7 linked regions of the Neurospora crassa OR74A genome follow. The protein of the gene in region 7 interacts with the protein of the main gene of each other region in a biochemical or structural test. Links are inferred from orthologs where the notes say so. Each region holds a gene or a part of one and is shown on either strand. Other genes may lie near its edges.

Region 1 (3,807 bases), on a different chromosome or scaffold from region 7:
GCGGTTTATAGTCTGGAGGAACTGTTGTATGGTTGGGAGAAGAGGGAGAAGAGGAAGATGAGGTTGGGGGAGGTATGACTTGCTTTGAATACTTGCCTGAGCTGTTTCTCGGGATCAAACCAGTATGAGACCGATACTGTGACAGAAGATATCCATATTGAGCATTAGAAGAAGAGCACAAATCGGGTGCGGTTGAGGAAACTACTTAGCAATCGTTGGTGGAGGCGACCTTCTGGTGTTGAAGATGGAGGTACAGTGCAGATATGAAGCTGATGAACACTGTGACATGTGCACGCACCACTTTGCCCAGAGCGGCCGTTCCCATAACCCCACCATCATAGCTTCGTCCTGTTGCTGTTCCCCGACATCATCACATCACTCCCTCCTTCACCACTGCACCTCCAACTGACCACACCTAGGAATAACCGGTCAAGAGTAAGTTAATTACACTGCTTTAGACCAAATCCTCAATTCGTCGAGATGCTAATCTGACCTGAACCGCAGTGCAAATGTGAGTTTTCACGACGTTCCGCAGCACGAAGCAATCAAGCGGAGTTGAGTCAGGTCACTAACAAACGGGACGTTGTACCCCTGGTGTATAGCTTCGTCAAGACCCTCACGGGCAAGACCATCACGCTCGAGGTTGAGTCCTCCGACACGATTGACAATGTCAAGCAGAAGATTCAGGACAAGGAGGGTATCCCGCCCGACCAGCAGCGCCTGATTTTTGCTGGCAAGCAGCTCGAGGATGGCCGCACCCTCTCCGACTACAACATCCAGAAGGTCAGTGGACTGGTGGCCCCACAGCGCGCTTATGACGTAGATGTTATAGGGGTTGGGAATGGGAGGACAACTGCTGTGGTCAACTTCCATTTTTGCGATGGCCATGGGAACAGAAATGGGATTCAATTGATTGGTGTCATGGTCGACTTGCTAACATGGATTTCTGCTATAGGAGTCAACCCTCCACTTGGTCCTCCGTCTGCGCGGTGGTATCATCGAGCCCTCGCTCAAGGCGCTTGCCTCCAAGTTCAACTGCGACAAGATGATTTGCCGCAAGTGCTACGTACGTATACTCTATATCATCTTTTCGCCTTCTCAAATGTTGAACCAAGGTCTAACTTGTTTCTAGGCTCGTCTGCCTCCCCGTGCCACCAACTGCCGTAAGCGCAAGTGCGGACACACCAACCAGCTCCGCCCCAAGAAGAAGCTCAAATAGACAGCTCAGTGTTACGTACCAGCATCAGGGTTTGGCGCATTTGGGCTTTTTGGGGGCAAACGGGTATGGTTATGGCAACGGCATAAGGACAACAGGACAGGGAAACACGGGACCTGGGAATGGATGGCTACGGCTGAAAACGTCAAGTCGAGGACTTCTACGTAGCTCATGAATAAACTCGGACATTGCCCGTGGGGATACACAAAAGGGCATTGAAGCTCTCCTACCAAAAGCAGTGATCTTGTAGAATAATTTGAGCTTGATTATGAATGTCGCTCGAAACAGCTCAACTACCTTGATGGCCACTTTGGACCCACGTGACATATTGCGGGGAGTTACTGCAGGGACCGGGAATCCGTTAAGGGGGGGTGCACTGCTGCGGTTTCAGGACCCCAACAGGGGGCGTGCACGCAAGTGTACAGCGGTACGTACCTCTACCTACCTACCTCTACCCTTTGGTGTACGCGGCTCACGTTGAAACAGCTGTCCACCACCAGCTTCCGGAGGGACCAGACCACCTAAGTAGCTTTGGAGGAGCTTACCTATCGAGAGACCGACTTACACTAAGCATAAACTAATCATACCATTTGACTCCAAGGCGATTCACAGCTATCGGCGTGTTCCCAAGCTCCAACCAAATCACCATCGAAAGACTTGTCATCACAGCTCACATCCGACCAACAGACAGCAAACAACCGCCACCATGTCCAGATCAGGCTACGATGCAGTCGTAGACGTCGACGACGAGGTTAGTTCGCCCTCTCCTCCCCTCCCATCCGCTCCCATGGTAGTCATTGATCTTTACATACCCAACTAACCACCCTTTTTTCTCCTTCTCTCTCCAGGGCGACCTAGGCCACACCGACCTCCAAGAAGATCTCGAATTCCACCAATCCAACTTTTCCGAATCCTCCCCCCTCGGGCGCAACGGCACCAAATCCACCCAACACACCAACACCACTTCCACTTCCTCCCTCGGCGGCGGGTTACTTCCCGCTCCCGTAACCGCCGCCCGCACCTCCTCCAACTCGGGAGGAGGAAGCAGCAAGCGCTTCCTCTGGACGCTCTCCTTTTACGCGCAGTTCTTTGACGTGGACACGTCCAGCGTGCTGCAGCGGTGTTGGGCGGCCCTGTACCCGCGAGCCAACTTTTTGGATGTGTTGGAGGGAAATCCGGACCTGTACGGGCCGTTTTGGATCGCGACGACGGTGGTGCTGATTTTGTTCTTGGGCGGGACGATTAGTGATTATTTGGCGCAGACGGGGAAGGAGGCGTTTGCGTATGATTTTCGGTTGTTGAGCGGTAAGTTTTTTGTTTTTTCTTTTTCCCTTTGGGTGAATGGGTGATTGATTTTAGTAAAATTGGGGGCTGATATGTGATCAAAAAAAACAACAACAGGCGCCGCTGGTCTCATCTACGGCTACACCTTTGTCCTGCCGGTCGCTTTGTACCTTGCCCTGCGATACTTTGGTTCGGAATCCGCCAACCTGCTCGAGTGCTGGGCTTTGTACGGTTACTCCAACCTCATCTGGATCCCTGTGGCGCTGATCAGCTGGTCGCCGATTACCATCCTCAACTGGGTGTTTGTGGGCGTGGGGTTCGGCGTGTCGGTGGCCTTTTTGCTCAGGAACCTGTATCCGGTGCTCAGCGCGACGGATCGCCAGACGAGCAAGGTGCTGCTGTTTGTCGTGGTGGCGCTGCACTTTGGTTTGGCCCTGGCCATCAAGGTGCTCTTCTTTGCGCATGGAAGCCCGGCGTTGAAGGATGGTCCGAAGGGAGCTGCCCCGGGTGGTGGGGATGCGAAGCCTGCTGATCCGGCTACGATGATGATGATGTTCTAGGGGCAGGAGGTTAGGATATGAAGGAGATAGGCTTAATAGGAAGAGAGGTACGTTTGGAGCTGTGTGGCCTTGTATCTGATATTTGATGTTTTACTATCTTCATCCGTCAACAAAAGGTTATGGGGGAGGCGTTTGCCGCGATTGGTTTCTGGGATTGATAAGTTCAAGTTCAATCGGATTTTCAATTCAACCTATGACTTCTGCTGAATTGAATTGCGCTGGCAGTTTATTTCACCCATTTGCTGCCCTTTCTTTGGTACGCTGTCCTCCTCTTTCTATCCCGGGTATAACAGGTACACTACAATACGTTCCATCCATCCAGTTCCCAGGTGGTAGAGGTAGACATAAGAAACGCCTCCTCTTAACTACTCCCCTTCTTTTTTCCGTTTTCCTGACCATGCCCTTATGCGTACCCATCATCCTTTTTTATCCCATCCCTCGTGCCGCCCCACCACCCCTCGTGCCGGGGAGGGAGGGACCCCTTTCATTGTCCATACTCGCTATCGATACTTTGAACGATCTGACCTGCCCATAGGGTAATCAAGCCAAACCGCTTGCCACTTCCCCATGCCGCTGCTCGTCTCGAAATCATCTCAAGTCTTCCTAATACTACCACCCACAACAACCCCCCACATTGAAAAAAAGAATCAGTGCCCCATCCTTATTGATGAACCAAGTAGGAACAGCCCTTGTTGTCTGGTGCTGTTCATGGGACTACTACTCACGGACTTGCTGTTGCTCTTGCTC
Region 2 (4,118 bases), on a different chromosome or scaffold from region 7:
AGCAGGGGAATGAGGTGGAGGGCGGAGGAGAAGTGGAAGGAGGAGGCCAAGGAGGAGAAGAGAAAGCAAGAACAGAAAGCGTGAGTGTGTGATGAGAGAAACGGAAGCCCAAGCATAACTAAGGTCGTTCGGCTTGATTTTGAAGAGGAGTCGGGGAAGGAGAAGGTGTTGTGATACCCATTGCTTTCATCCAATTGCTTTTCAGCGTTGCATTTCCGGCGTCGGGTTTGTGGTTCGAGGGATAGACGGGATATAATCTCCAAGCTCAATGTGTGGAACGTCATGTGCGACTTTTCGGGTTAGATTCAACGTTCCATGGTAGCATTTCACTTTCGGACACTTGGTATGTAGTACCGCAAAATAGACAGACATTCATGACAGACAAGAAGAACTTTGTTCTTGATTCAAAAGGGACAAGACCAAACTTAATATGAATAAAAAGGAGAGGGAGTGGACCCAAAACAAAAAGCCGAGTCATGAGACGTCCCTGATCCCAGATTCATTGGGCAAAAGTCGCAAAAAAGAAAAGTTCAATTGCGCCAGCCGCGAATCGAACGCGGGGCCCATCGATGGCAACGATGGATTTTACCACTAAACCACTGGCGCTTATTGATATCACCTGTATTTGAAACTTGCAACTATGAGCATCAGCGGTCACCTCAAAACGCCAACCGGACTTGGAGTTGAAGGCATTGTTGGGGCCAAAGAATTGAACGCAGATCAAAAGGAAACGGTAATTAGATACTGTGGTGTAACAAACGAACTTAACATGCGTATACTCGTTGGATGGAGAATACATTATGGTACCAGCTAATTTGGTGCTCCGACGCTTGGGCAGGTAGGACGAGCGTACATGTGTTCCCCGGTTGAAGGGTACACATGTAGGTTCGTCCGAATGTTGAGGAAAAAAAAAAAAAAAAAAAAAAAAAGAAAAAAAAAACCGGTTGCCCGAGTGAATTGAAAGGAAATGTCTCCCTCACCTCACGGCCTTTCTTTTACATCATCATCGCCGTCCGTATAGTTGCTAACGGGTCAAAAAAGATCAGCCATCTCGAAGCCGAGTGTCCCTACCACCATCATCCGTCCAGATGACGACTGCCCCAACCCCACACGGCCGGGAAGACGATCCTTGCCCAAGAACGGCCCACCACTTCTCGGCTCCGGTTCCTGGGAACCAGTGGGGATGGCGTGCCCGCTTTTGACGACAGATAAACACAGCCCGCGCCATGCCCAATCTAGGAGGTGTCAATTGTCGTACGTCTCGGCAATTCCGGTCTGACTCCGGGCCGCTGACAATCAACAGCCACCCACCATTACCTAATAATCGCTGTTTATAAGCTGCCCAGTCATCCCCAACAACGCTGATGTCTGTTTGACCACCTCCAGTTTCAACCGTCTTTCGAACACGAAAGGCAACATCATCATCATCAACCTTGAATATGGAGAAGGGAATCTCTCTCCCGGTGGCCTACACGCCCCCGCCGGCCCAGGCATCCACCACCCGATGCAAGTCCCTCAAGACCGTCGCCAAAGCCCTCGCCCTCGGTCTTCCGCTCTACGCCCTCTACGCCTGGCACACCAACCAAGCAATCATTCCATCTCTCTCCCGCGCAAATGTCAACTTTGCCTCCCAATGCGAGCAACCTCCTCCGCTCAAGCCCAGCCAAGATGAGAAGCTCGACGAGGCCTACGACTTTCTCTCCACCGAGACATTCCTCAACGCCTCGGTGGCCCGCCTGTCGGGCGCCGTGCGCGTCAAATCCGAGTCCTTCGACGACCTCGGCGCCGTCGGCGAGGACCCCCGCTGGGACGTCTTCTACGACTTTGCCTCGTACCTCAAAAAGACCTTTCCCTTGATCCACTCCAAGCTGCAAGTCGACAAGGTCAACACCCACGGCCTGCTCTACACCTGGGAAGGGTCCAACAAGGACCTCAAGCCGACCTTGCTCATGGCCCACCAGGACACCGTCCCCGTCCCGCCCGAGACGATCCCCGCCTGGACCTACCCGCCTTGGTCCGGCGAGTACGACGGCAAGTACATCTGGGGTCGCGGCGCCGGGGATTGCAAGAACCAGTTGATCGCCATCATGGAGACGGTTGAGCTCCTGCTGGAAGCCGGGTGGGAGCCCAAACGCACCATTTTGCTGTCTTTCGGTTTCGACGAGGAATGCTCCGGTCGACAGGGCGCTGCTCATCTCTCCAAGTTCATCGAAGAGCGGTACGGGAAGGATTCGCTGGCTGTGATTGTCGACGAAGGCGCCGGCTTCGAAAAGACGTGGGGAACACTGTTTGCCAAACCGGGAACGGCCGAAAAGGGATACACGGACGTTTACATCACGGTGCGCATGCCGGGCGGCCACTCGTCTATCCCCTCGGACCACACCAGCATTGGTGTTTTGAGCGAGCTCATCACGCGCATCGAAGCAGAGCAGTACCGCACCCATTTAGAAGAGGAAAACCCGTACTTCACCCAATTACAATGCGGCGCAGCGCATTCGCCTCACTTCTCACACAAACTCAAGAAACTGCTTGCCCACCGGAAGCGCCACTCCTCCTCTTTTTCCTCTTCTTCTGCTGTTGAAACCTGCAAAACAAAAGACTATCTAGCCCTCGAAGCCGCGCGCGAAGGCGGCCCAGCCATCAAATACCTAATGCAAACCTCTCAAGCAGTCGACGTCATTTCGGGCGGCATCAAAACCAACGCTCTTCCCGAACGTGTCCGCGCCACCATCAACCACCGGATCAACATAGGCGAAACCCCCCAGGTCGTTTACGACCGTCTTACCAAGCTCGCCGCGCACGTCGCCAAGCGCCACGGCCTTGCCCTCCACGCTTTTGATTCTAATGATGATGAAGACGAGCAGCCCGAGCCACCCAACTCCCTGATCCTCACCAAATCCTCCCACGAACTCCTCGTCGCACCCATCACCCCCTCCTTCCCCTCCAGTAGAGGACCCTTCGCGGTGTTAGCAGGAACCACCCGCGCCCTCTACGGTGAAGAGGTGATTGTCACCCCTGGGATCATGACGGGCAATACAGACACACGATATTACTGGGACGTGACGAGACATATATTCCGGTGGGGACCGGGGTATGACCCCGCCGATGACGATGCTGGGTTTGGAAACATTCACACGGTAAATGAGCGGGTGAGTGTGAGGGCGCATGTGAATGGCGTGAAGTGGTTTTGGATGTTTTTGAGGAATATGGATGAGGTTGAGGTTGAGTGAGGTGGATGGGTGGATGTTGATGGGTAGAAGATGGGGGGGGGGGGGGGTGGAGCGGTGGGTCGAATGGATGGGGTGGAAAGATGGATGGGGTCTGGTGGAGGTTGAGTGGGACTCGAAGGAATAGGATGTACCTTATAAAGATGGGAAAAGAAAACACAACGTGAAGAGGGCGATGGGTATGGGAGAAATGAAAACGAGAGGAAGTGGAAGAGAGGGGGAGGAAGGGACCGTTGTTTGAACGATGGTGGTGGAATGGAGGATGCACGTGTTGATGATGCCGTACATGAATTGATGATGAATTGATGAATGATGAGTAGAGGTACCTGCAGTTTATTCCTCTAGGAAAAGAAATATCAAATGAACTGGTTTTGTAACAGTGAAATCTCCAGCAACACCTCCATCCTTGATCCTTGGAGGAGGACCGGTGATCCGATCAGACACTTGCGACCTCCCAATGTCATTCTGATGAATTTTCCGTAGATGCATGCTCCTGACATTTGCTGCATTGTCTGGCCTACGATTGTGCTGCATCATGTGCGTGTTCCCTCGACAACGAACGCATGCAAGATGCAGGAGGTGTTGACTTCTTGTTGGATTGATACACCACTTCGAGTTTTGGGTCATGTACTGAATTCCCAACTCCCTTGTGTGATGACTGTCTCCACACCCCATGGCATATTTGTACACATTATCATTCTCATCTTTCGTTTCTAGAGAATCTACCTGTGAATTCCATTGGATCTCAATATTGACCAAAGTATGGGTTGCCCGCTACGCCGAACTCCGTGAAAACAGCAAAGGGAACACATGTGTACTCGTCCACCTAGCCATGCACAATGCGAATACCCTTCCGCAGGCAAGCAAATTCGACAAATGAATCTCCTGGAC
Region 3 (4,435 bases), on a different chromosome or scaffold from region 7:
TTGTATTGATGATTACGTTACCGTACGCGAGGGAGTTACGACGAAACAAATGCAATTCAGGGGGCGTATAAATAACATCGACACCCGCTGAACGGCTCCCATGCCCAGCGGACCCCGACCTGAAATGAACGATCCACCAAGCGCCCAAATGTCAAGAGGGAAAACCCGGGATATGACGCTATCTACACGTGCGGTTACAGTAGATCGCTGATGAATGCCCGGGTTTGCCGGTCGGGACCAGCTGGCTGCTGTTTCTTGATTGATTGATGGGAAAGTTGGGCGTGAAGAAGAGCCCAAGTTGACTGTCACAATTAAGCCACAATTACGGCCAATCAATAGATACTGTGTAACAAAGTGAAAGTTGCGCTTTCGAGGTACTTATTCAGGTGCTATGCCGTACCAGCAGCGCTCGAGATGCGGCTGGGCTGTGCTTGCTCCTGCACGATCTCACTCTTTCGGGTTCAATTTGGACAAGAATCCTTCGTTCCTGCGCCAGTACCTTGCTTCGATGTTGTTGGTCGGTCATTGGGGTTGACCTGAACCCTCGAAATGCGCTGCGGTTATTCCAAATAAAAGCTAGGTACATACACCTCCAGCGCTGGGAGGTTACGTACCTGTTCTTGGGGTTTCAAATTGTAAGGTACGAACAAGGTGTTCATTTGTCCTCGGGTCAATAGTGCACTTCCTACCTACGCTTGATTTGATCTCGAATGGATTTTCCGTGGACATTGCAATTACATAAATATACATTTTGGTGATAGCATCCATGAAGATCGCGGTGTCTTCGCGACCGCTTCGTTGCATCGTCTAAATTCCCCCAAATTCAGCGAACCCCCCCACCCCCCCGAACACACACCCCCCGGACCGGCTCCTTTAAACGAGCACTTGGGTCCACGACTTGGACATAGAGTAATTTCCAACGTCTCCCTTGGCTCGACCATTTCGACCGCAACTCCAGACTCTTGATCACGATAAAGGTCAAATTCCTCGCAGGGTCACCGCAGCCGCGCGTGCTCGCTGTCGTCGACATCTTCCCGACGTTCCCTCGCTCGAAATTACAGGCTACCTATCCGTAGGTACCATACAGGAGGGCCTTGGCCGGCCGCAATCCTACGCGCAAGCGGGCATACCTACAGTGCTTGCTTCAGCGGCTACCCCTTGCTTCAGGAGCACCCGTACACTCTAGAAGAGCTTCCATCCTCGTTCACCTTCTGCCCGGCAGCCGCAGCGCCGCACCCCCGTCACCCGTCACCAACCCAGCGTCACCCGCTCTCACACGCTGCTGCCGCCGCCGCCGCCGCCGCTCGCTCCTTGATTCCATTTCCTACCGGACACACACACACCCCCCCTTCCCCGGCAGAACCAAGACTTGTGATACCACACCACCAGCCACCATTCGCACCACGGCGCCTTTCGTTTTCCCCAATTCCTTTCTTCGCAACAGCAACTCCCTTGCGTCGGTTCATGTCGGCTGCCATCCAAAGGGCATCATACGAGCAGATTTCCCGCAGCAGCCATGGGCTTCCTCGGCGTCTATAGGGCCATTTACGATTACACGCCCCAGGGCGAGGGCGAGTTGACAATCTCCGAGGGCGACATTCTCTATGTGTTGGAAAAGAGTCAGGAGGACGATTGGTGGAAGGCGAAGAAGAAGGCCAATGCTGCCGACGATGACGAGCCCGTCGGCTTGATCCCCAACAACTACATTGAGGAGGTATGTAATGTGGTCCGAGGTCTAGATCTGGATTGCGTGCAGTGTCATCTGGGCACTTGTACCTGCTTGGAGGATAGCAAGCTGGCTGGCCTTGGCATTCAGATGGATCACTTGAACTGACCGCGCACACCATGACGCCAGGCGAAACCCGTATCATACGCTCGCGCGCTCTACGAGTACACGCGTCAGACCGACGAAGAGCTCTCCTTCCCCGAGGATGCGCAGCTCTCAGTCTTCGACACTTCCGACCCCGATTGGATCCTTGTTGGCCACGATGGCGACTACGGCTTCGCGCCCGCCAACTACATCGAGTTGGGCGATGGCCAGGCTGGCCAGGTCGAGGAGGAGGAAGAAGCGACTGCCCCCCCTCCTCCTCTTCCGCAGAGGACACCCAGCGTCAGCGTCGATGTAGCCAGCCCGCCCCTGCCCGCCAGGAGTGTGCCCTCCGAGCCAAGCACCCCTGTCGCCGCTTCCAACCCTGCTGCCGCCGCCATCGCCGGAGTTATGGCCAACCGCTCTTCTTTCCAACCTCCAGCGCCTATCAGTGTTCCCCAGCCCCAGCGACAGTCATACGCTTCGGAAGATTACGAAAATGAGGTAAGGTCCCCGCCGCTTCCGAGCCGCCCGCGGGGCGATTCGCAAATTGCTCCGGAGCAAAAATCCTACAGACCGGTGCCGCCGCCCGCTCAGTCAGCAGCCCACGACACCGACGACTATGGCATTAGCCCGCGAACCTCCCAGGCTCCTCCTCCTCAGACCGCCGCGCTTACCCCTGGCGGTTTCCACATGTACAACATCAACGAGATGACGTCGGTGATGGGCAAGAAGAAGAAGATGCCTACCACGCTGGGCATCAACCTGAGGACGGGAATGATTCTCATAGCGCCGGAACATTCCCACGACGGTCCATCGCAGGAATGGCGGGCCGATTGCATGACACACTACTCTCGGGAGGGCAAGCACGTGTTTATGGAGCTCGTACGACCAAGCAAGAGCGTTGACTTTCATGCGGGCGCCAAGGACACCGCTGAAGAGATCGTCGCGATGCTGGGCGACATGGCCGGAACTGTGCGCCTCGAGGGACTCAAGGAGATCATTGCCGCGGGAGCCGGAGGCAAGAAGAAGAAGGGTGCTGTGCTGTATGATTTTATGGCTCAGGGTGAGGACGAGGTTACTGTCGGCGTTGGTGATGAGGTAGTTATTCTCGACGATACCAAGAGTGACGAGTGGTGGATGGTGCGTCGCGTCAAGAACGGCAAGGAGGGTGTGGTTCCCAGCAGCTACATTGAGATCAACGGCGTGTGGGAAGAGCCGGAGACGGCCGTTACCGGTATTGCCGTGGGCATGTCGGAAGTCGAGAAGAACCGCCTGGAAGAGGCGCGCTTAACCAAGGAGGCTATCAAGGCTGCCCAGCGCGAGGAAGAGAAGGAGAAGCAGAAGAGGAACTCTGAGGTAGGCCCAGGATTGCAATTGCAAGAACGAAATAGTAGTTTGCCGGCCACAGATGATAACAGGAGAGGAAAACAGCGAAGCAGTAGGCGCGAACCCGGTCAGAACAGCAGCTCCAAGTCGTCAAGCAAGTCGAGTAAGTACACCCATGTCCAGATTTTCTTTCAGAGTATGCAGAATACTGACAGTTTGTCGCAGAGCCCGATCCTTCCAAAGTGCGAACATGGACCGATCGATCCAAGTCCTTCAGCGTTGAGGCCCAGTTCCTCGGTGTCAAGGATGGCAAGATCAGGCTCCACAAGATGAACGGTGTGCAGATCGCCGTGCCCGTCTCGAAGATGTCAGTTGAGGATCTCGAGTACGTGGAGCGCGTAACTGGCGAATCTCTCGACGAAGACAAGCCCCTATCCGATCTTAGGAACAAGCGATCCGCCGGTGAGTCTTCGAGGTCTAGTCGATCGACGCGCGACAGGGAAAGAGACCGTGGTTCCAGCTCCCGGGTTGGCGCCACCATCGATTCCTCGAAGAAGCCCGACTACGACTGGTTTAACTTCTTCCTTGGTTGTGACATACAGGTTGGTTTGTGCGAACGGTATTCTCAAGCTTTCCTGCGGGAGGCTATCGACGAAAGTGTCTTGCCAGATGTTGATGCTACTGTGCTGAGGAACTTGGGCTTGCGTGAAGGTGATATTATCAAGGTCATGCGGTACCTGGACAACAAGTACATGCGGAACAAGAAAGGCGAAGAGGGCGAGGGAGGACTCTTCTCTGGGCCAGGAGGTGCGCTCCGCAACAACACGAAGAAGGGCAGGCCGGCGCCCCCCGTCGAGGTCAGCAACACCGTTGATCCCAACGCTTTCTCTAAGGACTCGGGTGCTGGTAGTGGCAAGTCATCATCTCCTACGGCTGCGGCTACGCCAACACCGTCTGCCTCGAAGCCTTCCAGTGGCTTTGATGATGATGCTTGGGATGTCAAGCCTACCAAGACGAAAACCCCTGAGCCGGCTGCGCAAGCCGTTGCTCCCGCTCCTGCGGCGGCACCCGCTGCCGCTCCAGCCCCTGCTGCGCCAGCTCTGGTTGACGCGCCGGCCCCCCCTCCGCCGGCGGCTCTTACCAAGTCGATGCAGGAGTTGTCGTTGCTTACCCAGCCTTTGGAACCCGAGAAGGTCGCTCCTCCGCCAGTTGTGCAACCGGCCATCACGTTGCCTCCGCCCTCCGCGGCTCCAGCTCCGGCTGCTGCTGCTCCTGCACAGGTCCCTCAGCTTACCGGCG
Region 4 (4,092 bases), on a different chromosome or scaffold from region 7:
ACGTCGACTTGGAAGAGATCGCCAGGGTTCAGGAGGTAACCGGGGTGTTTCATCTGCAAAAGGATCGGGTAATGTTAGCGCCGAAACAAGCAGCTTTGGCATGGGTGCACTGTATTGTGGGATTCGGTATTGGAACGTTGTGATGGTGTACATGCCTTCTTGCCGTTGACGGTGACGGCACCGTGCACAACCATCTGGCGGGCCTGTCTCGCACTGCTGGCAAAGAGGGCTCTGAATATGGCGATATCGAGGCGTCTCTCGAGAGGCGCAAAGGTCATTTGCTCGTACGGCGTGGGAACCTTCCTGCCCGGGTTGGCGATGACTTGCTTGGCAGGTTTCTCGTCGGCGGTCTTCTCGTAGGCTGGGGGCTCTGAGAGGCCGGAACCGCGGCCGGCGGCTTGTTCGCTGCCGTTATATTTGGCCATGTATGCCGGGTCCATGTTGACGACGGCCGGTAGGCGACGGCTAAACATGCGCGCCCATTTGCGTTCCTTGATGTGCTCGCCGTGGTATGCTCGTGTCAAGGACTTGGCGAGCCATTTCTGCTGGAAGAATGTCTTGCCGCTGATTCTGGGTTCTCTCCCGGCCGTAGCCAGGTTGTACAGGTTATATTTGTTCCATGTCGGCCTGATGGGCTATTCGGAAGAAGAAGAAGCGCACACAAAATACGTCAGCATGATCGCGTGTGGTGGGTGTTGAGTGTCGTGGCAATGGGACTGGCAGGTAGTAGGTAATGGGGCGAATGGGGTGATGATGCGGCGGCGGCGACGATGACCAACGGCAAACCCGGCGACGGCGGCATAAAACACCGAATAGCACATACCTTTTTCTTCAAACTGTGGTACTTGAACAACCTCCGGATCTTCATGTTGGGTGTGGTGTGTTTGGAGGAGCTTCGGGGGATCGGATCGGACTGTAGGCCCCGTGCTTTTGGCGAAGTGGACGGACCGGTTCGGCGCAGGTTGTTTGGAGATTGTCGAGTCCGGAGCGGTCCGGGGCACCTAGCAGCACTGCCAACGAGGGGAGCTTCCCGGGGCCCTTCCACCTCTTATCGGGCGCCGTCCTCCGAAAATTATTTCAGACCCGAATTGGAGCACGCGCTCGCCCATTGGTCGCATTCACGTGAGAAGCTCGGGCCACTGTGCGCGTCAACTCCAGGCCGGATGGTGGAGAACTGGCAGGCACAGGATGCGGGAGCTAGAGCGCATGCGGTATAGCTCCGCAACCTCTTGGCGGATTGCGGGTGCAAGTGGAGTGGGGCTAGAAGCAGAGCCAGGCGGTAGAAATCGGCACAAAAAGTCTAAACCCAAAGGCGGTTCCCTTGGACCTGGGTGGGGCTGATTTGGTTGCTTGCTTGGTTTCGCCGCTTCCATTTTTTTGCGCTGAGGGGGAGGTTTTGACAAGTGCAGTCCTCGATATGACTCCAATGCCGACAGACCCTGGAAAAAGTCAGGGCAGATGGGTTACGCTGCTGTATGATGATGGAGGGAGGGAGCTCAGTAATGGATGGACAAGACTGAATCAAACTCTCGATCTTTGACAAGGGAATTGAAGTGTGTGTTACAGTTCAGAATTATCGAGGTCCTACCTGACTTACACTACGTGACTACCTCTACACTTCACACACGTCCTGGGATTTGCTGGTGAATGGCCGACTTTCCTGTCGCGTCGATCAACAATCAACCCTGCACCAACCCAACACCATTCCCCCACTGCACCCTGCAATAACATTTTGCGCCTACCGCCCCAAAACTGGAGTGCACCTGAAGGACCCACTAAATAATTTCGTCGTTTTGCCTGCTTGGTCCCCGGTCTCCAGTGCACTTTCTGCATTTTCATCATCCGTTCACCATTATCTCTCTCCCGGCCATCTACATCCATTCTTCTCTTCCGTGCACGCGCGTCACGTTAGACGGTCAATTGCCTTTACAGCCGCTTGTACTTTACCCTTTCAAATACCTACAGGCCACTCCGACCTTCATCATGAGCGATACCACCGCCAACACTGAGGCTGCGCCTGCCGTCGAGAATGTTCAGACCGAGGTCCAAACCGAGACTGTAGAGGCCCCCGTCGCGGAGGCTGCCCCCGCCGCCGAGGAGGCTCCCAAGACTGAGGATGCCAGCAAGGAGGAGGAGAAGAAGCCTGAGGCTACCAAGTCTATCGACCGCGCCGACTACAAGAACAACAGGAAATACGATCCTTCGACCCAGCCCGTCACTGACGATCCCGTCAAGATCCGCAACCAGGTACGATCAGACTACAAAAACAGTTGGCATGCTGCGTGTCCCCGTGTCTAACAAATAGTCTTAGGTCGAGTTCTACTTCAGCGACAGCAACCTCCCTACCGATAAGTTCATGTGGGAGACGACCGGAGGCGTGGAGAACAAGCCCGTTTCGCTCAAGACCATCTGCAGCTTCAAGCGCATGCAGATGTTCCAGCCCTACTCGGCCGTCGTCGCCGCGTTGAAGGAGAGCGCCTTCTTGGATGTGTCTGGCGAGGAGGGCCAGGAGACGGTCAAGCGCAAGAAGGCCTACACTTCGTCCTCTGATGCGCAAAAGGCCCGTCTGGCTGCCAGCGTTTACGTCAAGGGTTTCGGCGAAGAGACCGGATCCACTCAGTTCGACATCGAGGCTTTCTTCACCAAGTTTGGTCAGGTCAACCTGGTCAAGCTGAGGCGTAACGAGGAGAACAAATTCAAGGGCTCGGTCTTCGTTGAGTTTAAGACGGAAGACGAAGCCAACGCCTTTGTTGCCCTGAACCCCGCCCCCAAGTGGCAGGATCAAGAGCTCGTCATCAAGAAGAAGAAGGATTACCTGGACGAGAAGACCCAGCTCATTAAGGAGGGCAAGATGGAGCCCGGCACCAGCAAGAAAAAGATCTTCTTCGAGGGCAGCATCAAGGGTGCCGAACGTGGCCGCGGACGTGGCGGCCGCAGCGGTGGTGACAAGGGTGACTGGAAGTCGCGTCGTGATAACGACCAGAGAAACGGCTTCAAGGGTGGCCGTGGTCGTGGAAGGGGTGGCCGCGGTGGCCGTGGCGGCCGTGGTGGTCGCGACAACCGTGACCGCAACAACGAGTAAGTTACAGCCATCCGACAACTGGGTTTCGAACATTTACTAACGTGTGGTATAGTAACAACAACAAGCGTGCCCGTGAAGATGACGGAGACAAGAGTGCTGAGCCAGCGGCGAAGAAGGTCGACACTAAGGCTGAGGCTGTCGAGCAGCAATAGAAGGCCGGCATTGGTATGCTCCAAGTTCTGGGCCGGACGGACTGATGACTTGTTCCTGATGAATAATTCTCGAGGCTGTAAAACATTCGGACGGCGTTATATGGGTGGTGTTTGTTTTAAACTTAAAAGGGCAGGGATTTCGTACTACAACATCCGATATTGACCTTGATAGCGTGCTGTGGTTATTGCATGCGAATATATACGCAGTATAAAGGCGATGGTTCTAGAAGTAAGCATTGTATCACTTTTGCTAGACAAGTTGAGTGAATGGACTACTAGATGTTTTATCATGTCAGACCTTCATGCTGTTGTTCCCTCAAAGATTGGAAGTTGTGGTCTCTGATAGCTAAAAAAACGCCGACTGGATTATGTGTAGATACCAAGGTGACGCGGCCATAGTCAATGCTTTGGGTAGACAAGGAGACCGTCTCAGGCGCTTTGGGGAAACAGCCATTCGTTTACTGAACAGTCATTTTCTTTCATGCTGGGCCTTCCACGCTGAGCACGCCTATGATATCGTTCCAGACCGCAAGTCGCCATTTACCAACTTGGGTCTTAGGGTACTATGTATCGATGTCTGGGCGTTGTGTTGGCTGCAAGTACGGGATGAGCACACGATGTAGTGTAAGATGGAGTTCTAGTATACCTAGTGCAGTTTGGGGGCTGGACGCAACGAATGAGATGCGATGCAGTATCTACGAAACAGACACAGTGCTCGAGATCCTCTTCTGATGCTTTAAGGAACCTCCGTTCGACCAATGATATTGCCGAGAAAACCTCGCCATGGGCAATGATCATGATTACTAACACTATTATAGCGTGTGTAGAAACAATTCAGAGCCTTTACAACTTGCAACT
Region 5 (4,231 bases), on a different chromosome or scaffold from region 7:
CGCGTACAGTCTCTGGTTGAACGATCTTGGTATGTATAGCGCATGTTCTCGTTGACACGGACGCAAAGCTGACAATGTGGCATCGCATAGACGCGGGTGAAGGCAGTATTCTTTTCGGCGGCATCGACACAAAGAAGTATAAAGGCGACCTGACGCGAATCCGAATCTACCCTAGTAGTAACGGCTACTACTTCTCCTTCATCGTCGCCTTGACATCGTTACAAGCAATTAGTCCTAGCGGTAACGACACGCTTACCTCTCAGGAGTTCCCCATTCCGGTAGTGCTCGACTCGGGTACGACCCTGTCTTATCTGCCGCAAGACATCGTGGATCAGATCTGGCAGGAAGTCGGTGCAGAATACTCTGATAGGCTTGAGTTGGCTGTCATTCCCTGCTCGAAGAAGTCTAGTAACGGCTACTTTTCCTTTGGGTTTGCCGGCCCTGACGGCCCTCGCATCACTGTGCGGATGGACGAGCTGGTCCTCGATCTCACTAGTGGAGACCCTCCGAAGTACACGAGCGGACCAAACAAAGGCCAGGATGTATGCGAGTTTGGCATTCAGAATTCTACCTCTGCGCCATACCTCCTTGGCGACACCTTCCTGCGGTCGGCATATGTGGTCTACGATCTGGTCAACAATGAAATCGGCTTGGCGGAGACGGACTTCAACTCGACCGAAAGCAACATTGTGGCGTTTGCCAGCATGAGCGCGACGATCCCGTCAGCAACACAGGCGCCAAATCAAGCGGCGGTCACCAATAGACCCGTTGCAACTATGCCATCATTTGCGGCGAGTTCAGGATTCTCGGATACTGGTGGCTCGGGCAACGATGGTAAGGACGAGAATGCATCGGCAGGCATGCCAAGTGCATTTGGTGTCGCTCAGATGTCTGTGATGGGTATTGCGATGGTGTTTGCCATGGTTGGTTCTGGCGTATTCGTCTTGCTATAGGCTCTGCCATTGCATTCGGTTGGATTTGGATATGGCATTCCTTTTTTTTTCTTTGTTTTGGGAGTAGAAACGCACAGAACAGGATGATGACGATACCCCGAGGGGCGTAGCGTTAGTTGAAAAGAGTATTCGGTTTTGTTTTTGGATGGATCCTAACAATACTCATTTATTACCTAGGACTTGGGTAGTTTGTTTATCCTATGGTCGGTACCTACTTTACGTGGACTAGGCATCATGGGTTGAAACAGTGAGGGATGGCAATTGGGTATGGTATTGAGTTACTGTTCTGTTTGGAGTGGTTTGTTTATAGTGCTAGTAATGTATGATCAGTGTTCAACCTTCAACGAGTCTCGGATACTAACTGTCCAAAGAAGATCAAGGTAGTGAGGTTGTCGATGTGGGTTCGTCGTGGCACGCTTCAGTTGATGATAAGTGTATGGACCTTGATGGTTCTTGGGGAGCTGTGTGTGGATGGAGTACCCAGCAGTCGATGGACGCACGCCCCCGATATTTAGCGCCATGGTACCCGCGCGATGGCCCCAGCAAAGATAAAAGTACCCACTTAAAAATTTCGTGGGCAATGCCCGGGCTTTGGTAGAGTTCGTCCCGACTCCCCCCGCCGTCAGTTGCTGCCGCATCCGCATCCGCATCCCGCATCCCGCATCCTGCCCCGTGCTTCTCCTTTGGAAACTTTAGGTAGTTTTCCAAATCCACGGCACCACTCCTTCCTCCCCACCAGTCACTCCTTTCTCTTTCCTCCCCCTTCGCTGCGTGTGAGCGAAGATGAGGGTGATTCGGGCTGTTGCTACTCTCCACGCCGGCCGCGCTGCCGCCGTGCGCCAGGGTGTTCGCTCCGTCAGTCTTGGAGCATGCCGCGCCGCCGTCGAGACGCCGTCCCTCCGGTCGGCCGGCTCCCAGTTTGAGAGCCGCCGTCTGTTCAGCAGGTCCTCCTACCTGAGGAATGCTAACATGACTGCGGCCGAGATTGCGTAAGATATCTCCCGTGAAACGAAGGCTGTCATGGCTGGCGTCATAGCACCGGGCAGCATGCCACAGCAGCAGACCCGGCTGACAATACGCGCTGTATTTCTCTAGTCTCAAGCAGGCCAAGGAACTCGCCGCTTCCAACATGACCCCCGAGGCTGCTGCCGCCCGTATGACCCCCGAGGAGGCCAAGAGACTGGCCCGTGTCCGTAACATTGGTATCGCCGTATGTGAACCCCAAACGCGCCCGAGATGAAAGATAAGAGACCGAGGACAGAGGACGGGGATAGAAGCTAAACAGCTAGCTATATACAGGCCCACATTGACTCCGGCAAGACCACCGTGACCGAGCGCATCCTTTTCTACACTGGCAGAGTCAAGGCCATCCACGAGGTTCGTGGTCGCGATGGTGTCGGCGCCAAGATGGACTCCATGGAACTCGAAAGAGAGAGAGGTATCACCATCCAGTCTGCCGCCACTTTCGCCGACTGGAAGAAGAAGGAGAAGGGCGTGGAGGAGACCTACCACATCAACTTGATCGATACCCCCGGCCATATCGACTTCACCATCGAGGTCGAGCGTGCCATGAGAGTCCTTGACGGAGCTGTCATGGTTCTCTGCGCTGTCTCTGGTGTCCAGTCCCAGACCATCACCGTCGACAGACAGATGAAGCGCTACAACGTCCCCCGTATCTCTTTCGTCAACAAGATGGATCGTATGGGTGCCAACCCCTGGAAGGCCGTCGAGCAGATCAACACCAAGCTCAAGATTCCCGCCGCTGCTATCCAGGTCCCTATTGGCTCTGAGAAGGAGCTCGAGGGTGTTGTCGACTTGATCGACATGAAGTGTATCCGTAACGACGGTCAGCGTGGTGTCAACCTCAAGATCTCCAAGGAGATTCCTGCCGAAATCAAGGAGCTTTGCGAGCAGAAGAGACAGGAACTTATCGAGAAGCTCGCCGATGTCGATGATGAGATTGCCGAGATGTTCCTTGAGGAGCAGACCCCTACCCCCGAGCAGATCAAGGCCGCCATTCGCCGCGCTACCATCGCCTGCAAGTTCACCCCCGTCCTCATGGGTTCCGCCATTGCCGACAAGGGTGTCCAGCCCATGCTTGACGCCGTTTGCGACTACCTCCCCAACCCCAACGATACCGACAACACTGCCCTCGACCGCTCCAAGGGCGAGCAGCCGGTCAAGCTCGTCCCTTACAACTCCCTTCCCTTCGTCGGTCTTGCCTTCAAGCTCGAAGAGAACCCTTACGGCCAGCTCACCTACATGCGTGTCTACCAGGGCTCCCTCAAGAAGGGCGCCTACCTCTACAACTCCCGTGGCAACAAGAAGGTCCGTATCCCCCGTATCGTTCGTATGCACTCCAATGAGATGGAGGACGTCAACGAGATCGGTGCCGGTGAAATTTGCGCCGTCTTCGGTGTCGACTGCGCCTCTGGCGATACCTTCACCGACGGTGGTCTCCCTTACTCCCTAAGCTCCATGTACGTCCCCGACGCCGTCATGTCGCTCAGCATCAAGCCCAAGCGCTCCAGCGACGCCGACGCCTTCTCCAAGGCCATGAACCGCTTCATGCGTGAGGATCCCACTTTCCGTCTCCATGTCGACGAGGAGTCGGAGGAGACCATCATCAGCGGCATGGGTGAGTTGCATCTCGAGATTTACGTTGAGCGTCTCCGCCGTGAGTACAAGGTCGAGTGCGAAACTGGCCAGCCCCGCGTCTCTTACCGTGAGACCATCACCCAGAAGGCCGAGTTCGACTACCTTCTCAAGCGCCAGTCCGGTGGCCCCGGTGATTACGCCCGCGTCGTCGGCTGGATCGAGCCCAACCCCAACGGCGGTGAGGACAACCACTTCGAGTCGCGCGTCGTCGGCGGCACCATTCCCGACAAGTACATCTCTGCCTGTCAAAAGGGTTTTCAGGAGGCCTGCATCAAGGGCCCCCTGCTCGGCCACAAGGTCATCGGCTCCTCCATGGTCATCACCGACGGTGCCACCCACGTTACGGATTCGTCCGATTACGCCTTCAACCTCGCCGCCCAGATGGCCTTCGGCAAGGCCTTCACCGCCGCCGGCGGCCAGGTGCTCGAGCCTCTGATGAAGACCACCATCTCGGCCCCCGCCGAGTTCCAGGGTAACATTCTCATGCTGATGAACAAGCGCGGCACCATTGTCGATACCGAGGTCGGCGCCGACGAGTTCACCATGGTCGCTGACTGCTCCCTGAACGCCATGTTCGGCTTCTCCACCCACTTGCGCGCTGCCACCCAGGGCAAGGGCGA
Region 6 (3,634 bases), on a different chromosome or scaffold from region 7:
ATGGTACATCATCCTGAGTCGAGTGCTGTGTATCCTCGAAGCTGTGTATTCCCTCCTCTATCGCGCACTGTTCCAGAAACTGTGGTGTTATCGGTTCATTTCTCGACTGTCGCAAGTCTTGATGCGCCGTCCAACCGCTTACAAAGAAGTCGGCATTATCGAGCAAATCGGTTGGCGCAGAATTATCGAACCCAATTGCCGTACGATCAAAGGCAACATGTTGCGCCGAAGCTGAAGATGGCGGCTCCCAATTCCACTGACTCAGGTCGACTGGGTAAGGGAAGGCCCATGGTGGTGGAGTGGGCGGACATTGTAAGGCGTTGAGATCTCCGAGGTTCCGTTTCCCCAAGCGGCGGCGGGCCTCGAGCGGACCGGGCACGCTCCCCACCGTCCTCCGTGTGGACTGGACAAAGCTGGCGAGATGGGGGAAGTCGGCGGCGGAGGCGACCCAACACGGAGGGCCGGTCGGGAGTGGGCTTCGGGGAATGGAGGGGATTCGCGGCGTTCGACTCAGCTGGAGCAAGCGGTAGCAGTGGGAGGTTTGTGGAGTCATGGGGAGTGGACTCGGAGCGGAGGAGAAGGAGGAGACCTCGACGTGGGAGCTTGACTCGCGTTCACGGGCGGCGGAGGGGTGGGTGGTCGGGGGATCCCAGCCTAGTGAGATCCATCGGAGGGGGGGGATATGTGCTTGTTGATTGAGGTGTCGAGATGATGTAGTGTATGATAGCAATTAAAAAGGTATATCATGACAGACAGAGAGAGTGAATTGGTGTTGAGAAGAACATGGCGAGACCAGCAACGTACGACGGGACACAACGAAGAGAACAGCTTAGGTGGCTTGGTAGCTCGAGACTGGTGAGAGTTCCGTCCCGGTCGTGAGGGGGAATTGTGGATATCAACTTTTTAGTCTGATGGACAATCGATTGCGGGCAGGCGGCCCAGGCAACGGCGTGGCACAGCTGAGCATCTCCAACCTAACTGAAGTAAGGAACTGAAGTAAGGAAGCAAGCTGTAGCGGGAGCTGTGCTGTGTCCCTAGGTAGGTAGGTTCCACTTGTGGCTGATGGTACCTGCATTCGTCTGAACTTCCATTTCCTTGAGGGCAGTTGTGGCTTTGAGGTTGTACTTATCACCATACCTACCTAACCTAACCTACTGCCCCTGTTTGTCCTAAAGTCGTAGGCCACACCAATTGTCCGAGAAACCTACCTCTACCTAGGAAGGTACTCTAGGTAAGCGGGGGATTGACAGACTTCCAGGGACAAGAGGGGTAAATTTAGTGGAAGCCCGATCGTACCAGGGGTGCAATTGGCAGCAGATCGACCCCGCAAACCGCCAAAGGGACCCCACTGAAATTCAGGCCGAGCTTCAACTGGACGACGCTGTGGGTGCGGTGATCCTCTACCACCTCAGTTCGGCTGTTTTGGATATCACAAGTCCTTGGAAACATGGCGGCGGCTTCTCTCTGTCTCTTGTCCTTGTCCACTGCCTTGGTTGCCTGGTATCTTCACAATAAGTCAACAAACAGACACAAGATGGCTTCCCAATTTCCTCCTCTCAAGAATGACTTGTTGCTCAGGGCCGCCCGTGGTAAGTCTGGGGAAAATTTCAGACAGAAAAAAAAAAGAGTCATCTCATCTTGCACATGCAATCTCATTCACTAACACACCCATTTTCTCACACACAGGCGAGACCGTTGAGCGTCCCCCTATCTGGGTGATGCGCCAGGGTGAGATGTCCTCACTTACACATTTTTACTCTCACATCTAACGCAGCACCTCTCATCCTCACAGCCGGCCGCTACCTCCCCGAGTACCATGAAGCCAAAGGCGGGCGTGACTTCTTTGAAGTCTGCCGCAACCCCGAGATCGCCTCGACCCTGACCCTCCAGCCCATTGAGCGCTACGCCGGCCTGATCGACGCCGCCATCATCTTCTCCGACATCCTCGTCATCCCCCAGGCCATGGGCATGACGGTCGAGATGGTCGACAAGAAGGGCCCCCACTTCCCCAACCCTCTGCGCTCGCCCAGCGACGGCCAGTACGCCGAGCTCATGAAGCGCGACGTCGACGTAGCCAAGGAGCTGGACTATGTCTACAAGGCCATCACCCTCACCCGCAAGAAGCTCGACGGCCGTGTCCCCCTGTTCGGATTCACCGGTGCCCCGTGGACGCTGCTGTGCTACATGGTTGAGGGCGGCGGTACCAAGCTGTTCAAGGAGGTCAAGACGTGGATTTACAAGTATCCCGAAGAGACCAAGGCCTTGTTGCAGAAGATCTCGGAGTTGTGCGTGGAGTATTTGGCTCTGCAGGTCAAGGCTGGCGCTCAGGTAATGACCCTCCTCTTATCTGGGTATATCACTTTGGCCATTCAGTACTAACGACATCCAGATCGTCCAAGTCTTTGACTCCTGGGCCGGCGAGCTCTCCCCCTCCTCCTTCAAGACCTTCTCCCAGCCCTACCTGACCTACATCGCCAAGCACCTGCCGCTCCGCCTCAAGGAGATGGGTCTCGAGCCCGTCCCCATGGTTGTCTTCCCCAAGGGCGCGTGGTATGCCCTCGACGCCGCCTGCGACATGGGCTACAACGTCGTCGGCCTGGACTGGCTGCACGACCCCGCCGAGGCCGTCAAGGTTGTTGGCGACAGGCCCATGGTCCTCCAGGGTAACGCTGACCCTGGTGTCCTTTACGGATCCCATGAGGCCATCACCAAGGTCGTCGAGGAGATGGTGCAGGGCTTTGATTGGCATGGCAGACACAAGGGCTGGATTGTCAACTTGGGCCATGGCATTACGCCGTTTGTCAACCCGGATGACCTCAAGTTCTTCTTTGAGGAGATTCACCGGTTGACTAAGACCAAGGCTTAGTTAGGTGCCTGGTTGTATGTACGAATAAAATCGGTGATGATGATGTATGAAATTTAGACAGACATATATCCCCTCAGTCAAATCTTCAAAGTAACCTGCTCAACGCCTACAAGGCATCGCCAACTGTAGCCAGGTCCACCACGGCCCTATTTTCATGTCAGCAGCAACTCTCATAACATCAAATTCCAAAGGGAAGAAACGGGAATACTCACCAAGACAACAACCACCCAACCCGCCCTCCAATACTCTTACAAACCCCCTGACTCCTATAATTCTCCAGAAAAACATCCGCAGCTCCCCACCCATCATCGCCATAATCCTTGACATGATCCCTCATGACTTTACAAGCCACCGCCTTTGCCAGTCCCTTTCCGCGGTATTGCTCCTGTTTTGTTCTTGTCAGCTTTCTCTCTCTTTCACCTCCCTCTCCCGTTCTACAGTGACAATACAAGGGAAAAAGGGAAAAGGAAAAGAAAAGACAAACCTCAACATGCAACGTCATCAACGTCCCATCAAACGCCATGAACCCCCACGCCACCATCCTCCCCCCTTCTCCATCCCGTACCGCCACACTAGGAAGTCCCAAAAGCGTATCCTCCTGCCTTTTGATACTCGTCCGGCTCTGCACCAACCTTACATCCTCCTTTGTCCTCACCCGATCCCACACCAGCCCCTTTTCTTTTTCCAGCGTCGTTCCCAACTGCCCCTCCTCCTCCTTCTCCGACGACGACGACGACGACGACGACACCAACGCTTCCGTCCGAAACA
Region 7 (4,193 bases):
GGTTGATCTGGAGGGTGTAGTTATCGTGGGCCGAATACTCGAACAAGCAGTAGAATGGATTGAACATTTCGTGAGAAAGGAGGAAGAAGAACTCGCGCGACAGACCGCCGTAATCGAGGCCGTCCTCGCCGTCGAACTTGATCATCAATCGTTTCTTCAGGTCCGTCGCCGATTGCCTCGAAATCTCCGCAAACGAATCCTCGAAAATGTGCGATCTCCTGACCTTGATGTGACACTGTCCGGACATGATCCGCATAGCAGGCTGCGAACGGAAATAGATGAGCTTCCTCCTGAAGTCTCTCTTGTACTGCGGTACGTTCTGGTCGAGCGACGAAGGCAGACGAGGATCATCCCAGGTCGTTGTCTTGGTATTGTGATCCACGAAGTAGACGCGAGCCGTGTTGGTGAGCCGCATCTCCCAACCACTAGGCAGGGGACCGAGCTGGGACACCGGCTGTTGTTGAATGGTCCCGTTCGTGTTGTTCTGGCCACCGTACATGCGAATGTACTGCTGGCGTCGAGGGTCGACCCAGGTAGTAGTGCGCGTGTTGTGGTCGACAAAGTACGGCCTTCCTTCTGGGGTAAACCTCTGCTCCCAACCAGCAGGTAATTCACCGGTTCCGGGGGTTGTCGCCCCGGTATGCATCATAGTGGCAGCATTGGCGGTGGCGGCAGCTTGCTGCTGCTGTAGGGTGGGGGAATTGGCGCCAGTGCGGTCCTCGGGAAGTGTTCTGTTCTGATGCCGTTGACGCTCGACTTGAGTATTGGCTTCGGCGGTACGGTTTTCGGCCGCCCCTGTGCCAGTTGGCCGATTCCAGCTCGTGGTCCGTGAATTATGATCAACATAATATGTCCTCCCCAAATGATCCTCGCGACGTTCCCAGCCAGCTGGCAATCTTCCCATTGAATCTTCGAAGGGGCTAAGCGTGCTATGGTGCCTGGCTTGCGCCGGAACGAGGGTCGACGGGTTCGTTGGGGCTGTTCCATTTGTCCCGGGGGTCGGGGCTGTCGACGACGACGAAACAGCCAGGCTGGCGGGTCGGCTTGCCAAAGTCATGTTATTGGCGGTTCCATTAGGTCCGGACATGGCTGATGAAGGACGTTCGTTCGCTCTGTCGTTAGAAATAACCGAACTTTGAGGGGTGAGTAGTGATGGTCTGCTCGAAGATGGAGGGGGACCGAGGCGACTCATAGTTGCTGTGAGGTTAGTAGATAGGTTTATGATCAGTTTGCCGTGCACCACAAGGTTGTCGGTCGATTTCTTAAGGTCCCGCGTGAGCATCTGATCTGTGGGTGTGGTGCATGTCAGTCCCAAATCGCGCTGTCAACCTGCAAACACATGTGAATTGCAGTGAAACCTTACCTTCCGCATCGGGAGCCAATTCTATTACGTCCCCTATCCGGACATTGATGACACCGAGGAAACCTTGGTCCTTCTTTTTGAACTTCTTTTGGTCGAACACCTGGACAGCCAGAATGCTGTCCTCATTCACTTTGCTACGTTGTATTAGCCAGCTGGCCCTTGGGCTGTCAAATCTGAGTTAAGGTCGAACCTACAAATCAAAGTGTTCGTTCCAGTATGGGTTTAGGGTACGCTTGGAGACCTGGGTGGTCTTTGTCTGCTCACCGTTAATGGTAGCGACGGCGAACGGGTCGGGAAACCCTATGATGATGATGCGGTTAGCATATGCCACCTGGAAGTGGCTTAGAAGATGCATGACACCTGGCCACGGGGAGAAACATACTGAAGACATCTCGCTTGTATAGACCATCGGCGGCGATGACTAGAGGGGCATGTTAGTACACCGGTTGGTCATCGGACACATTCGTCGCAAAGGGGCTGAGTACTTGTTACGCGGAGATTGGGCTGGCTTTAATCGTGGTGGTTGTTAGCTGGCTGTTCTCTCGCTTATAATCCGCGGTCCCTGAGGGCGACGCAAAGCAGACAAGATGGGTAGATGGAGAGTCCAGTCGTGGGAGAACTTACGCCGGCAGCCCCGAGTCCCGGCTGCTGGTCATTGTTGCAGATGGAGCGCGTCAACAAACTCGCACGCGGGGCTTTAAGTTTTCGTCTCGTTTCTTGGACCAAGCAGAGGCTGGTCGCAATCGGGTCGGGTAGTCGGTCGCTCTCGCTCGTTTGGGATCGAGGACTCGCGGCTGAATGCAGGCGGGGCGGGGATGAAAGGAGGACAAGTCGACGATGGTACAAGCAGGCTGAATGATTGTTACAAAAGGGCCAACTCTCCTTGCGATGGACACTGACGTTGACGAGAACGCGCAGTCACTGGCAACGGAATGGATGCGGCAGGGTGGATGAAATTCTGTAGGTGGCAGTAGGTGGTAGATGGAAGCTAGAGGGACTCTTGAGCGCCCGTAGGTGGTGAGGCTGTGCTGCTCTTGGTAACTCGTGCGTGTGTGGCCAGCCGGCCCCCCCGCTTTGGGTATCTTACGCTGTCAGGTAGTCACGGCGGCGGAAGGCGAACTGCAAGGAAAGGCCAAGCAATCCAAGAGGCCAAGGTTGGACGGCTGTGGCTTGGTAATACTAAGTAATCTCTGTACTAGCAAGGTCGGCAAGGCAGGTCTGATACTTAGGAAACCACTTCTGTGGATCAACCAGCAGGTAGTGTAAACTCGCTCGGATGTCTAGGTTCGTCTGGTAAGGGTACCTTTAGTTAGTAGTGTCGAGGTTGAATGCTGTCGTTGTTTTGTCGCGGTGAAGCTGCTGGAAGTGGCGGGTGGGTGAGCTTGGGTTCGACGGACCAACCCCAAGAAGGTCCAGGTGAAGAGCTCAATGACCTTCACTAAGTTGCAACCGACGGATGAGCCAAAGGATGGGAGGGAAAACGACCGAGAAACCTGGACGTCTTGCGATGTTGCAAAGGTGCAATGGTGCAACGACCCAAGCCAAGAAATTGACAGTCCAAGTTGGATCTAGCATTGGTGAAGAGACAGGGGGAGGTGACAAGACATAATGGTTCAACAGCATTAACGGGAAAGTATGGCTGGCCTAGCATGCTCTGTGCGAGAAGCTTAACTTTTCAGTTAGTAGCTCAGGTATCGCATTAACGAGTGACTACTTTTAGGCCAGGAACTAGTTAGCAGAAGCCTGCAAAGAGCGAGAACTGAAGCGGAAGGTGCGCACAGTGCGGTACTTGACTTCTTCTCTTAAGCAGTTGGTCGGGTCATTCGAGTCCCAGACTCCCAGGGGGCCACATTCACTCCATGCTTGGCACGGCATCCAGATCTCGAGATCAACATCAACAACATCATTGGCACACAAAGAGCAACCTTGGTGTACATGGATCACATAGTCCCGTGTCTTTTCTTAGGAGTTGATGCCCTGTCAGGAAAATATCCCATGGATCACGGCTCAGTCATCGACACAGAGAATTAGAATAGGTAGCTATGCTGGCCTGAATGCCTTTCCATGACTAGGGGTAGGAAAGCACCTCCACCGACCGCCCCAAGCTCCGAGGTCTCTCCAGGAAACGCCAAGATTGTAGTAGAAGCTGTCTGTTCCAAAAACTCTACACAAGAGGTAGCCCAACGATCGGGGATGATGATGATCTTGCGCAGATCTACCAGATATCAAGCCACTACCGAACTTTGAAGAAACCTCCAGAGGCAGTCAATTAGGAAAGTGAACACTTCAAACCTCAACCTTGACAATTCAACGCACAGCACCTCTACATCCCATAACGACGATACACCGCACGGGGTGCAAAAAGGCGTTAGGTCGCTACTTAGCGTATCCCAGTACATGTAGTGTACCCCCGTTGCCGCCGACCGAGACGCTGCTGTTCCAACAATAGCGCATCACCGACATAAACGCCCGTCATTTCCATTTTGATACCCCTCGCGTGCGACGGAACTGCGGGGCGTTACTGCATCTCTGGATTTTCAATTGAGGTTTCTTTTTTTGTTGAGGTGCTTTTGACGATGGGGAGTTCATGGAAGCATAGAGGTACCCATCATATGTACACTAGGTTTGTACACTACACTAGTGGCTGTCATCATTGAACGAAGCGAGACAGCAAATGTGGAGCGCCCTTTGTTCGACACTTCTAAAAAGTGGTAGAGGTAATGCGCAATCCGCGTATAGCTCTTCTACCTAGGTAAGTACTCACTCTACTATACCTCAAAAACCAGCCTCTTTGAATTTCACCACAACCGCCTTCGGTCTTGTCGGAGCA

The links.
Region 1: of the proteins of NCU03947 (region 7) and NCU05276, one has a biochemical effect on the other in vitro, tested with the Saccharomyces cerevisiae proteins (2 studies listed by BioGRID, with this or other methods). The link is inferred for Neurospora crassa OR74A from reciprocal best matches to the Saccharomyces cerevisiae genes RSP5 and YIP5.
Region 2: of the proteins of NCU03947 (region 7) and NCU11129, one has a biochemical effect on the other in vitro, tested with the Saccharomyces cerevisiae proteins (2 studies listed by BioGRID, with this or other methods). The link is inferred for Neurospora crassa OR74A from reciprocal best matches to the Saccharomyces cerevisiae genes RSP5 and CPS1.
Region 3: the proteins of NCU03947 (region 7) and NCU02978 form a complex in vitro, tested with the Saccharomyces cerevisiae proteins (2 studies listed by BioGRID, with this or other methods). The link is inferred for Neurospora crassa OR74A from reciprocal best matches to the Saccharomyces cerevisiae genes RSP5 and SLA1.
Region 4: the proteins of NCU03947 (region 7) and NCU08295 form a complex in vitro, tested with the Saccharomyces cerevisiae proteins (2 studies listed by BioGRID, with this or other methods). The link is inferred for Neurospora crassa OR74A from reciprocal best matches to the Saccharomyces cerevisiae genes RSP5 and LHP1.
Region 5: the proteins of NCU03947 (region 7) and NCU02955 form a complex in vitro, tested with the Saccharomyces cerevisiae proteins (2 studies listed by BioGRID, with this or other methods). The link is inferred for Neurospora crassa OR74A from reciprocal best matches to the Saccharomyces cerevisiae genes RSP5 and MEF1.
Region 6: the proteins of NCU03947 (region 7) and NCU02771 form a complex in vitro, tested with the Saccharomyces cerevisiae proteins (2 studies listed by BioGRID, with this or other methods). The link is inferred for Neurospora crassa OR74A from reciprocal best matches to the Saccharomyces cerevisiae genes RSP5 and HEM12.

Annotation. Positions count from the first base shown.
Region 1 is NC_026504.1:5,495,596-5,499,402, reverse strand, and holds NCU05276 (Yip1 domain family), read left to right. Parts: upstream 1-1,658; 5' UTR 1,659-1,922; coding exon 1,923-1,967; intron 1,968-2,064; coding exon 2,065-2,521; intron 2,522-2,617; coding exon 2,618-3,060; 3' UTR 3,061-3,290; downstream 3,291-3,807. Other genes in the region: NCU16890 (hypothetical protein), read left to right, coding at 1-78; NCU05275 (ubiquitin-60S ribosomal protein L40 fusion protein), read left to right, coding at 435-435, 505-511, 603-783, 956-1,066, 1,133-1,219; NCU05277 (hypothetical protein), read right to left, coding at 3,545-3,652, 3,786-3,807. UniProt on the Saccharomyces cerevisiae protein: Possible role in vesicle-mediated transport. May be involved in proper membrane localization of Rab GTPases.
Region 2 is NC_026504.1:632,502-636,619, forward strand, and holds NCU11129 (carboxypeptidase s), read left to right. Parts: upstream 1-1,270; 5' UTR 1,271-1,439; coding exon 1,440-3,230; 3' UTR 3,231-3,593; downstream 3,594-4,118. Other genes in the region: NCU04886 (MFS multidrug transporter), read left to right, coding at 1-84. UniProt on the Saccharomyces cerevisiae protein: Necessary for use of certain peptides as sole nitrogen source. May also cleave intracellularly generated peptides to recycle amino acids for protein synthesis.
Region 3 is NC_026501.1:8,519,865-8,524,299, forward strand, and holds the start of NCU02978 (cytoskeleton assembly control protein SLA1p), read left to right. Parts: upstream 1-1,516; coding exon 1,517-1,714; intron 1,715-1,855; coding exon 1,856-3,299; intron 3,300-3,361; coding exon 3,362-4,435. UniProt on the Saccharomyces cerevisiae protein: Component of the PAN1 actin cytoskeleton-regulatory complex required for the internalization of endosomes during actin-coupled endocytosis. The complex links the site of endocytosis to the cell membrane-associated actin cytoskeleton.
Region 4 is NC_026504.1:2,503,605-2,507,696, forward strand, and holds NCU08295 (RNA-binding La domain-containing protein), read left to right. Parts: upstream 1-1,662; 5' UTR 1,663-1,983; coding exon 1,984-2,247; intron 2,248-2,311; coding exon 2,312-3,078; intron 3,079-3,134; coding exon 3,135-3,234; 3' UTR 3,235-3,590; downstream 3,591-4,092. Other genes in the region: NCU08296 (mito ribosomal protein S4), read right to left, coding at 1-53, 156-635, 824-868.
Region 5 is NC_026501.1:8,595,603-8,599,833, forward strand, and holds the start of NCU02955 (elongation factor G 1), read left to right. Parts: upstream 1-1,409; 5' UTR 1,410-1,736; coding exon 1,737-1,942; intron 1,943-2,048; coding exon 2,049-2,163; intron 2,164-2,252; coding exon 2,253-4,231. Other genes in the region: NCU02956 (aspartic proteinase), read left to right, coding at 1-29, 91-953. UniProt on the Saccharomyces cerevisiae protein: Mitochondrial GTPase that catalyzes the GTP-dependent ribosomal translocation step during translation elongation.
Region 6 is NC_026501.1:9,249,451-9,253,084, reverse strand, and holds NCU02771 (uroporphyrinogen decarboxylase), read left to right. Parts: upstream 1-1,293; 5' UTR 1,294-1,447; coding exon 1,448-1,589; intron 1,590-1,686; coding exon 1,687-1,728; intron 1,729-1,792; coding exon 1,793-2,328; intron 2,329-2,389; coding exon 2,390-2,866; 3' UTR 2,867-2,972; coding exon of another isoform or gene 2,973-3,012; 3' UTR 3,013-3,078; downstream 3,079-3,634. Other genes in the region: NCU02770 (hypothetical protein), read right to left, coding at 1-553; NCU02772 (hypothetical protein), read right to left, coding at 2,973-3,012, 3,079-3,251, 3,351-3,634.
Region 7 is NC_026506.1:2,205,735-2,209,927, reverse strand, and holds the start of NCU03947 (ubiquitin ligase), read right to left. Parts: upstream 2,855-4,193; 5' UTR 2,020-2,854; coding exon 1,988-2,019; intron 1,872-1,987; coding exon 1,849-1,871; intron 1,785-1,848; coding exon 1,746-1,784; intron 1,664-1,745; coding exon 1,558-1,663; intron 1,498-1,557; coding exon 1,364-1,497; intron 1,288-1,363; coding exon 1-1,287. UniProt on the Saccharomyces cerevisiae protein: E3 ubiquitin-protein ligase which accepts ubiquitin from an E2 ubiquitin-conjugating enzyme in the form of a thioester and then directly transfers the ubiquitin to targeted substrates.